Linked DNA regions of Rattus norvegicus. The protein of the gene in region 1 purifies or fractionates together with the protein of each later gene. This does not show direct contact. Links are inferred from orthologs where the notes say so. Each region holds a gene or a part of one and is shown on either strand. Other genes may lie near its edges.

Evidence for each region.
Region 2: the proteins of Actr3b (region 1) and Arpc4 purify together in Homo sapiens (affinity purification with mass spectrometry; 5 studies listed by BioGRID and IntAct, counting the BioPlex papers as one, with this or other methods). This does not show direct contact. The link is inferred for Rattus norvegicus from reciprocal best matches to the Homo sapiens genes ACTR3B and ARPC4.

Annotation. Positions count from the first base shown.
Region 1 is NC_086022.1:10,086,085-10,090,799, forward strand, and holds the start of Actr3b (actin-related protein 3B), read right to left. Parts: upstream 3,279-4,715; 5' UTR 3,216-3,278; coding exon 3,172-3,215; intron 1-3,171. UniProt on the Homo sapiens protein: Plays a role in the organization of the actin cytoskeleton.
Region 2 is NC_086022.1:148,080,522-148,084,719, forward strand, and holds part of Arpc4 (actin-related protein 2/3 complex subunit 4), read left to right. Parts: coding exon 1-66; intron 67-1,388; coding exon 1,389-1,500; intron 1,501-3,289; coding exon 3,290-3,385; intron 3,386-4,198. UniProt on the Homo sapiens protein: Actin-binding component of the Arp2/3 complex, a multiprotein complex that mediates actin polymerization upon stimulation by nucleation-promoting factor (NPF).

The sequences.
Region 1 (4,715 bases):
CTTCATCCTTCCAGCCCAGTGTGCATCTGGACAAACAGAGAGGGAGACAGAGGACTCAGACCCACAAGGGCTACACAGAGAAACCCTATCTCAACAAAGAAACAAAAACCCCGTTTTAAAGAAAGAGGTAGATGCTGTGCTAGGGTTTTTGGTGGATGCACCAGGGAAGAGCAACAGATGCTATGACTCCTTACAAAGTTGCACAACCTCTCTCTACCAGAAACACCAGACAGCCAAAACTGAGGGGCATCATCTACATAAAAGTATCAAAAAGACGACTGAGGAACTATCCCAGAAGCTGTGAGACACGACTAACGTAATGATCAGGTGTGGAGGCTGAAGCAGGGGCTGCATAACAGGCCCTCCCTCACTCCACCCCCTTAAAAACATGACCACCAAATGCAAAGTCTGAGGCAATTGCTAGACAGGGTTAGACTCCAAAAAAGACAAGAACTGAAACTGCTCCCAAGTCCAGACTGCAGAGGGAACAGCAGTGCTGCACACATGTTAACTTCTCTGACGAGTCTGGGATTATATAAATCCTTGCTCTCACTCAGAAAGTAGGCACTGAAATCTAGGAGGGTAATGCCAACAACCTTCTTTTAAGCAGCTCAGAAAAGTAAGAGCACATTCAGGAGTCTTGGGTGGCATGACGTTCAAAGCCGCTGAACCTGGAAGAATAGATTTGCTCTCTCCCAGTTCTCAGTAAGCTTGGAATCACTTCAAAGATGGTTTAACTGTGTAAAACTACCTTAAACGTTTGGGTGAGATGTGAGACAGGGTTTGTGGTGTTTTCTCTGGGAGCTCAGCAGCCTTTAAATAGTTGAGACTTAATTTTGGGCCTCACAGATACCTTCGTCTGTTTCTCTCTTGTCCCCAGCATGCCTGTGTCCACTCAGCTAGCTTGGCAGCTCATCAGACTCGAGGTCACAAAAGAAATGTATTTCCTATAAAACACAGGCCAGATGAGCATGCTAGCTCACACCCGTAATCCTAACGCTTAGGAGGCTGAGGCAGGAGGATTTCTTCAAGTCCAGTTCAAGCTTGGGTTATACAATGAGAAGACTCTATTTAAGAGAAAGACAGAGACAGTAAGACAGAGAAACAGAGAGGGCACACAGACGGACAAGACTGGACCTCAGGGTGCAATTCAGTGGCAGAGGCTTCCCTTACCAATATCGCTGGGTTTGACGCCTATCACCATCAAAACAACACAACACAATGCAAAACAAAAATCTGTCCACTTATTTCATCAGCAGTGCCCACGTGATCTCTCAAGTCTATTCTGTTCCTCAGCCCTTGCTATTTTTAGCTGCACTGTTCTATTCTGAGGTATAACTTGGTCCAAAATGAGATCTCCCAAGTCTATTCTGTCCCCCAGCCCCTGCTATTTTCAGCTGTATCTTACATTTAGTTCTATTCTGAGGTAAAAACTCAATCCAAAATAAATACAAGAATTACTAATACATGGAAGCTGGCACGTTTAGGCTATGCAGCCTTCCTTCTGCTCACACACTGAGCACTAGGAAGTCATGATAACCACAGGGGCTTCAATGGCAGAAAACACCCCATAGGAACCCCAGGTCCCTGGCACTGTGTCCAGAGCCTATGACAGCCCACAGATGACACCCTGAGGCACCCAGGGCCATGATGATCCACTGGAGGTGACAGCAGCATTAATCACTGACCCCAAAAGGTCAAAACTGAGCATGCTTTAGATATTTATAGCAAGAACAATGAGTAAGATCTCAGCTTACTAATAAGAAATAAAACACAGTTTATAAACCCGGGGAGAACTGTTTTGCTGTACCACTGCACAATGCTTCGTATTTCAGCAACCAAAAATCTCACCCGCAGACGTTAAAACAAACAACTTTTACATATTGCCTTCACTGCTGACACTACCAGACTGAAGGGAGTACCAGTTAGGGTGAGACTGTAAGGGGAGCCAGCACATACAGAGTGGGCTGGGAGAGCCCTACTGCTTTGAGCATGTCTGGAAGTAAGCAACTTCTCAAATACAGGGCAACAAAACTTCTCTAGAACGTGTATTTCCAAAAGAAGAATTAGCACAAATAAAGGATGTTTTTCCAGTCTGCATCACTGCTGGTTCCCGAGTACCAAAAGGAAAGACACATCAGTAGGAGATGGACTGTAACAAATTAGAAGACACCCCCACAAGGTTGTCAAGGAAACCAAACCAAGTATATTTTTCTACAGGAAAGAATAGCAAGAGAACATGCCACAGACTATTTGGTGACAAAGGACTACAATCCCTTGAAAAACATTTTAAGAGGCTAAATTTATTTGCAGGCTATTTATGAAGTACTTTGTCGGCAATGCCAGCAGGTATTCCCAAACCCCCAGGTTGGAGGGCTTGGTTGCCACCTTCCTAAAATTAGCTAAGCCTGACAGCATAAGCCACGCTTAAGGTCTCCTCTGAAAAAAAAAAATCAACGTCTTCCAAAAAGAAAAGAGCTATCTACCTCCCAAAAAAGAAGACTTTTTATTCAAAATGTTAGTCTTTTTTAAATGCATCGGTCAGTGTGTGTGTGTGTGTGTGTGTGTGTGTGTGTGTGTGTGTGTGTGTGTAAAGCAAAGATGAGTGCATGCAAACCAAAGCAGGGGCTGGGCTTGGCTGTGCCATTCAGAGTGGAAAAGAGCAGAGTGGGAAGGGGGACAGGGTGTCAAGTTGACAAGGCACGTGTAAACATCTCCACAAGTAGGTGCTTGGTACATCAGAAGAGAAAGGTAAAACGCCCATGAGTGCAAAGTATGAAGACAGGTGACAAGCACCATGGGGGTGGGGGGGAGCAGTCGTGGGGGGAAGGGGGCCGGACCCTGAGCTCTCAGGTGCAAGACCTGCAGCGAAAGCATCTGCAGCAACATCCCCACGAGGTGCTGCCCACCCGGCAACCCCGCAGCCCCATGCCCTCAGCACCCCATCTTCTCAGAGCCCCATCCCTTAGCTCTCTATGCCCTCAGATTGAGCTCCGTCCCCACAGTTCCCCACCCCACCCCTAGACTGAGCCCTATCCCTCAAACTCCCCAAACCCTCAGACTGAGCTCTGTCCCTCAGCGCTTCGTCCCTCCGCGCTCCTCCAGCGGTCTGACCCCGCGGGGAAATGGCTTCAGGACGCCCAGCGAAGCGTGAGTGGGCGCGGCTCTTACCCGGTGCCGCAGTCAACCACGCAGGGAGGCAGCGAGCCCGCCATGCTCGTCCACGAGGCGCTCGGTCCCCACCAGCCCCAGCGTGCACCGGGGACCCAGAGCCTAGCTGCCAGGTCGCTGCCCGCGCCGCTCCCCACCCAGGAGCGGCCGGGAACCCAGAGGCTCCGCCTCGTGACGTCACTCTACAGTTGGCCAATCGGGGACGCGCACGCTCCGCCCCCTTGTCAGCCATCCTTACTGCTGGCAGCTAGGCTTTTTAGCCTCTGCATCCATCCTGCAGTGGAAGAGATTGGAGTCTATTTTTAACAAGCATAAGATGACTATGACCCCATTTGCGAGGCCTGAATTCTTTCTCTTCTCTCTTTTTTTCAAATCGTAATTTTGTTTTGTTTTGTTTTCGAAGCAGGGTTTCTATGTGTAGCCCTTACTGTCCTGGAACTTGTTCTGTAGACCAGGCTAGCCCCACTTGTCTCTGCCTCGGTAATGCTGGGATCAAAGGTGTGCACCACCACTCTCGGCTTATCTAGTTGCAACTTTTTTGATATCATTGGGTGTGTGTCTGTCTGTTGGTAGGTGCATGTATGTAAGAGCAGGTGCTCTTGGAAGCCAGAGGCTTGGGATCCCCTGCAGCTGAAGTTATAGACAGCAGTGAGTGGGCACCAGGAGTCCGAACTGGGTCCTCTGGAAGCTCAGCAAGTGCTCTTAATAGCTGAGCCATCTCTCTAGCCCCGCTTTCTCTTCTCTTAATTCTCACTTCGGTGTTCCCTTCATTCTCTACCCCAACAACCTCCTGATTTTGTTTCTAACCTTTAAAGCTAGTTTGGGTACTTATTTATAGATAAGCACCTCTGCTGAACTAGGTCTCCTAGGACAGGGCCTCATGCTTAACACCTTTAGCGCTCTGATAGTAATCACCTGAATGTTGAATGAATGAGTAACCTTCACTGTAGAAAAAAATACTGACGACTTTCTATGATAGAACATTGCATAAATGTATCCTGGGAGAAAATCAACAAATGTATAATTAGTCTTAAGGAATAAATGCTGTGTGTTTAGCATCATTTGCTCCATGTATATTATTATATTGATCATGCTTTAACAGTGTGTCAAGTCGACATGACCTAGAACACTTAGGTTAAGTCAATACCACACCAACAGAACTAGGAAATATTTCCAATATGAAAGATAGGGTGATCACCCAGCATCGTTGAGGAAACCAAGACTAAAGAAGGAAACTGCCTACCTACCGGAAATCCCACTTGTGCCCTACACATTAGCCTCTAAAGTTCTTGACTGATGCCTGAGGAACTTTCTAGAGATGTAGTAATTCACTTGGTCTTTTCTGGGACTTAAAGAATTGTGGGTTTTCCACAGATGAATTAGATTATTTGACCACTCATAGGTAATTCTTTATCCTTTTTTCCTGCATGCAAGGGAGCAAATAATCCTAAACCTAAAACAATGTCCAGGGGAACTAAAGAGAAAATATGAAGACAAATAAAAAGTGTGAACGCTCCCAAACGGGGCCCAGAACCAGACAAGAC
Region 2 (4,198 bases), about 140 Mb from region 1:
CCTCTGCCTGGAGAACTTCTCTTCCCAGGTCGTGGAACGACACAACAAGCCAGAGGTTGAAGTCAGGTAGGGAAGGAGGTCAGAGTGGGCTGAGGAGAACAGCTCCCAAGAACAAACCCTGTCCAAAGGGGGCAGAAATCCATGCTCTTGGATTGTCAGGATACCTTAAGTAACATTTGTCTTGTTGCTAGATGAATAGTTGTTCCTGATTTGGTTAATTCCAAAACAGGGTCATAGGGCTCCCATTCAAAACCCATGGGAGACGTACCCCAAAGTGTGCCCCATATCATGCATTACTGAGCCCACTGGCAGCTCCAGAAGATGTCACAGGATTTAGTTCCCAGAGATGATACCTCTAAACTTTATAATGTAAGGATCAAGACTTTTTTTTTTTTTTTTTTTACTTTCTATCTTTAATACTCTCAGACAACTTCGGCCTTTTTTACACCCATACACTCTGTATTTTGAAAGTATTCTTGACTGGTTTTCGTTTCACAAATAAATATTCTTCCTCTTTGAAATTTCACCTGGCAAGGAGATGATTTAAGACTGCTAATCCCTGGGGTTGGGGATTTAGCTCAGTGAAAGAGCGCTTGCCTAGGAAGTGCAAGGCCCTGGGTTCAGTCCCCAGCTCCGAAAAAAAGAACCAAAAAAAAGACTGCTAATCCCAGCACATGGGAGGCTAAGGCAAAAGAACCACGGGGAGGGGGCTGGAGAGATGGCTCAGTGGTTAAGACCACTGACTGTTCTTCCAGAGGACCTGAGTTCAAATCCCAGCAACCACGTGGTGGCTCACAACCATCTGTAATGAGAACTGATGCCCTCTTCTGGTGTGTCTGAAAACAGTTACATACATAAAATAAATAAATCTTTAAAAAAAAAGAACCACAGGGAGGGACAGCCAGCCTCAGCTACACAATAGGCTTCTTCAAGAAACCCAAAGAAGGGGCTGGGGATTTAGCTCAGTGGTAGAGCGCTTACCTAGGAAGCGCAAGGCCCTGGGTTCGGTCCCCAGCTCCGAAAAAAAAAAAAAAAAAAAAAAAAGAAACCCAAAGAAGCCAAGGGCGTACATCTGGGGTGTACATAGTTGAGATAAGCCACGTTACCACATTCGATGATAAAGGTATTCTTTTGCTGGGTATTAAACCCAGGTCCTTGGGTCATGCTAGGCACACACCTTACAGCTGAAGCAAAGCTCCATCTCCAAAGTAATTTCTATGGCATTAGGGTGCACTGTTATTTGAGATACATGATGAACTGTGTGTTATTACTTGATATACATGGTTTTCACTAGGCGTTTTCAAATGGTGACAGTTCATAGAGCACAGGTACCTTTAGAAACACATAGTCAATTGCATCAGCTTGGTTCTCTGATTCTGTGTTTTTAGGAGTAGCAAAGAACTCCTATTGCAACCTGTTACCATCAGCAGGAATGAGAAGGAAAAGGTTCTGATTGAAGGCTCCATCAATTCTGTCCGGGTCAGCATTGCTGTGAAACAGGTGAGTTACCAGGGAGGGAGGCAGAGTTAGGAGTGCTCTTTACAACCAAGGACCAGTGGAATGGTTAGAGAGCCAGAGTCAGAGCCTGTTTCCATGAATTTCCTTGGGATTATTGGCCCGAGAAAACAGGTATAGCCAAGTAAGGGGGCACATATTTGTAATCCTAGCATCTGGAAGGCTGAGACTGAAGAGGGAAAGCCCACGAACAGCCTGGGCTACTTGGTGAGTCCTATCTAAAATAAAATAGAAAGTGGGTCAGTAGAACACAACCACAGCAGCAGCCCTATCCTAGGGCTTGCTCTGGATCCCAAACAAGGAAATATGGCAGGCAAGGCCGTGGGGTCAGTTAGGTGTTGGAGCAGAGAAGGTTTCTAACAGGTGATGGCTATGTCTTCTTAGAGTAGTTCCAGCACTGGTTTGATAGTCAGTTTCTGAAACTGCCACTTCATTTAAAAATAGAAGGTACAACACATGCACATACAGAATTCTTTAAAAAAAAAAAACACCCAGACCGTCCAATTCTAGCTTGTCTTCCAGAAGCAGCTGTGTAGGCCAGCAGTGTGTGGGATGGGACATCCAGAGTCAGGAAAGAAAAATGCCAACAACTGTCAAAATTAAAGTTCTGTCTACCAATAATCACCCAGACAAATGTCATTTATTTTCTTTGTGTATTTTCTCTAGTAGTTTTCTAGTTGGAGGACATACTTGTAGGTCGCTTATCCATCTTGAGTTAGTTTTTGTATGTGGTGTAGATTGGTGTCTAGGGTCATGCTTCCACATTAGAATGTTCAGTCGTGAGAATAATTTGTTGGAGAAATCGTCACCATTGTGTGACCTTGGTGCTTTTGTTGGAATTCAGGGGATTATAAATATTTGAGTTTCATTCTGAGCTTTCTGTTCAATTCCAACTCATATATGTATAAGATAGAATTTCCATTCCTTTCCATATTTCTTTTTTTTTTTCTTTTTTCTTTTTCCTTTTTTCCGGAGCTGGGGACTGAACCCAGGGCCTTGCGCTTGCTAGGCAAGCGCTCTACCACTGAGCTAAATCCCCAACCCCTCCATATTTCTTTAGGCAGTGTTTCCCAAATGCCTACCACATCGATCTGGGCCTTTCTGTCTCTGACAGAAAACTCAAGTGGTTATTTAAAGTTTGTTTTAAATTTGAGCTCTATTTCTATTTCCACTTTGGGAAGAAACTATGTATCCTAAATGGAAAAAGAATAACATTTGCCCCTTCTCTGCAGACAACTCTCAAAATAGCAGTCAAAACAAAACAATGTTGCAAAATTCAGATTAGCTACTTCTTGCCTAGGAGAGCTTCAGGGTTAAAAAGACGAGGAGCAGGCAGCCGGCAGCGGGCATCTGATTACCCAGATGCAGGTGTAATTGGAAGAGCTGATTTGGTGGTTGTTGGATTTTAGTAATGTTGAAGCAGACACTCTTGAGGAAGTCTCCAATATCCACATCCCATGTGTCACTGGTGCTGAGAAAAACCACTAGTGTCCTGAGGGTATTCAGGAAGCTTGTAATACAGGTGTGGACTCCATTGGGACTGATGAGAGTCTGGTGTGAGATGCACTCAGTGATACTGGTTAAGGGAGACTGACCCTGGGAGGACTTCTTTTCATCATCAGCAGATGCTGTAATTCAAAGATCTTTGGTCCTGCCAAACCTTTCAGCAGTGTCTGTTAGCCTGGGGAGGCAATGGGACCAGAAAACCAGGCTCAGGGCAGTTTGGACATTAGTGTTGACTTTAAAAACTGTCTTTCTCTTTTGCTGTTGACAGGCTGATGAGATTGAGAAGATTTTATGCCATAAATTCATGCGCTTCATGATGATGCGAGCAGAGAACTTCTTTATCCTTCGAAGGAAACCTGTGGAGGTGAGACCTGTTTATTTGTAATTCCCAGGATTCTGTCTGCGTGTGCCCCAATGTTTGATTTTTGTAGTATTTGGGGATGGAACCCAAGGCCTTGCACTGCTGGACAGGTTACTGTGCTACACCCTGGTTCTGTAGGATTGCAGCCTTTGGGCTGCTGCTTCTGGTTAGGGTTTCACTGCCTGGGCTGAGTCAGCCCATACAGTGCCCTCCTCCTCCTCAGAACCTCGGGCCTAGTCCCAGACAAAACAGTGATTTTAGAATCCTTCCTGCTGTTGGTGGTGTGCATGCTTGTACAGCGTGGGGGTGGCTAAGGTGGGAGAATTGTGAGTTAGCAGTGAGGCTAGGCACACTGACATGGGGTAGTGTGGGGAACACAAAAGCCAAACAAAAACTTTCCTACCAACTGTGAAGTCCAGCCTCTCCGTGCCACAGTCAACAGTGAATTGCTTGTTGTCTGCCTTTGTACTTAAGGTACTGAAAGGTATGTCAGCTCCCTGCCAAGTCTCCCTGGTGACCTGGCAGACACCATCAGCCAACACACCGAGTGTCAGCCTCTGTGTTCTTCACCCTGCTCCCAGTCCTCACTCGAACCTCGGGGCCACTAGAGTGAGTGAGCCCTTCTTCCTCACACAGCTCCTGAAGCAAACAGCTCCAGTCCCATCCTTTTCCGTGTCAGTTTTCCTGTTGTTTTTACTATTGAATTGGCGTCTTTGAAATAAGACTTCTGGTTCCTTTACTCCCTTGGCTCATTTCAAATACAAGGCTATTTGTGCCACGAGGACATCTGGTCTGGCACACGATTTTGAATTGGGT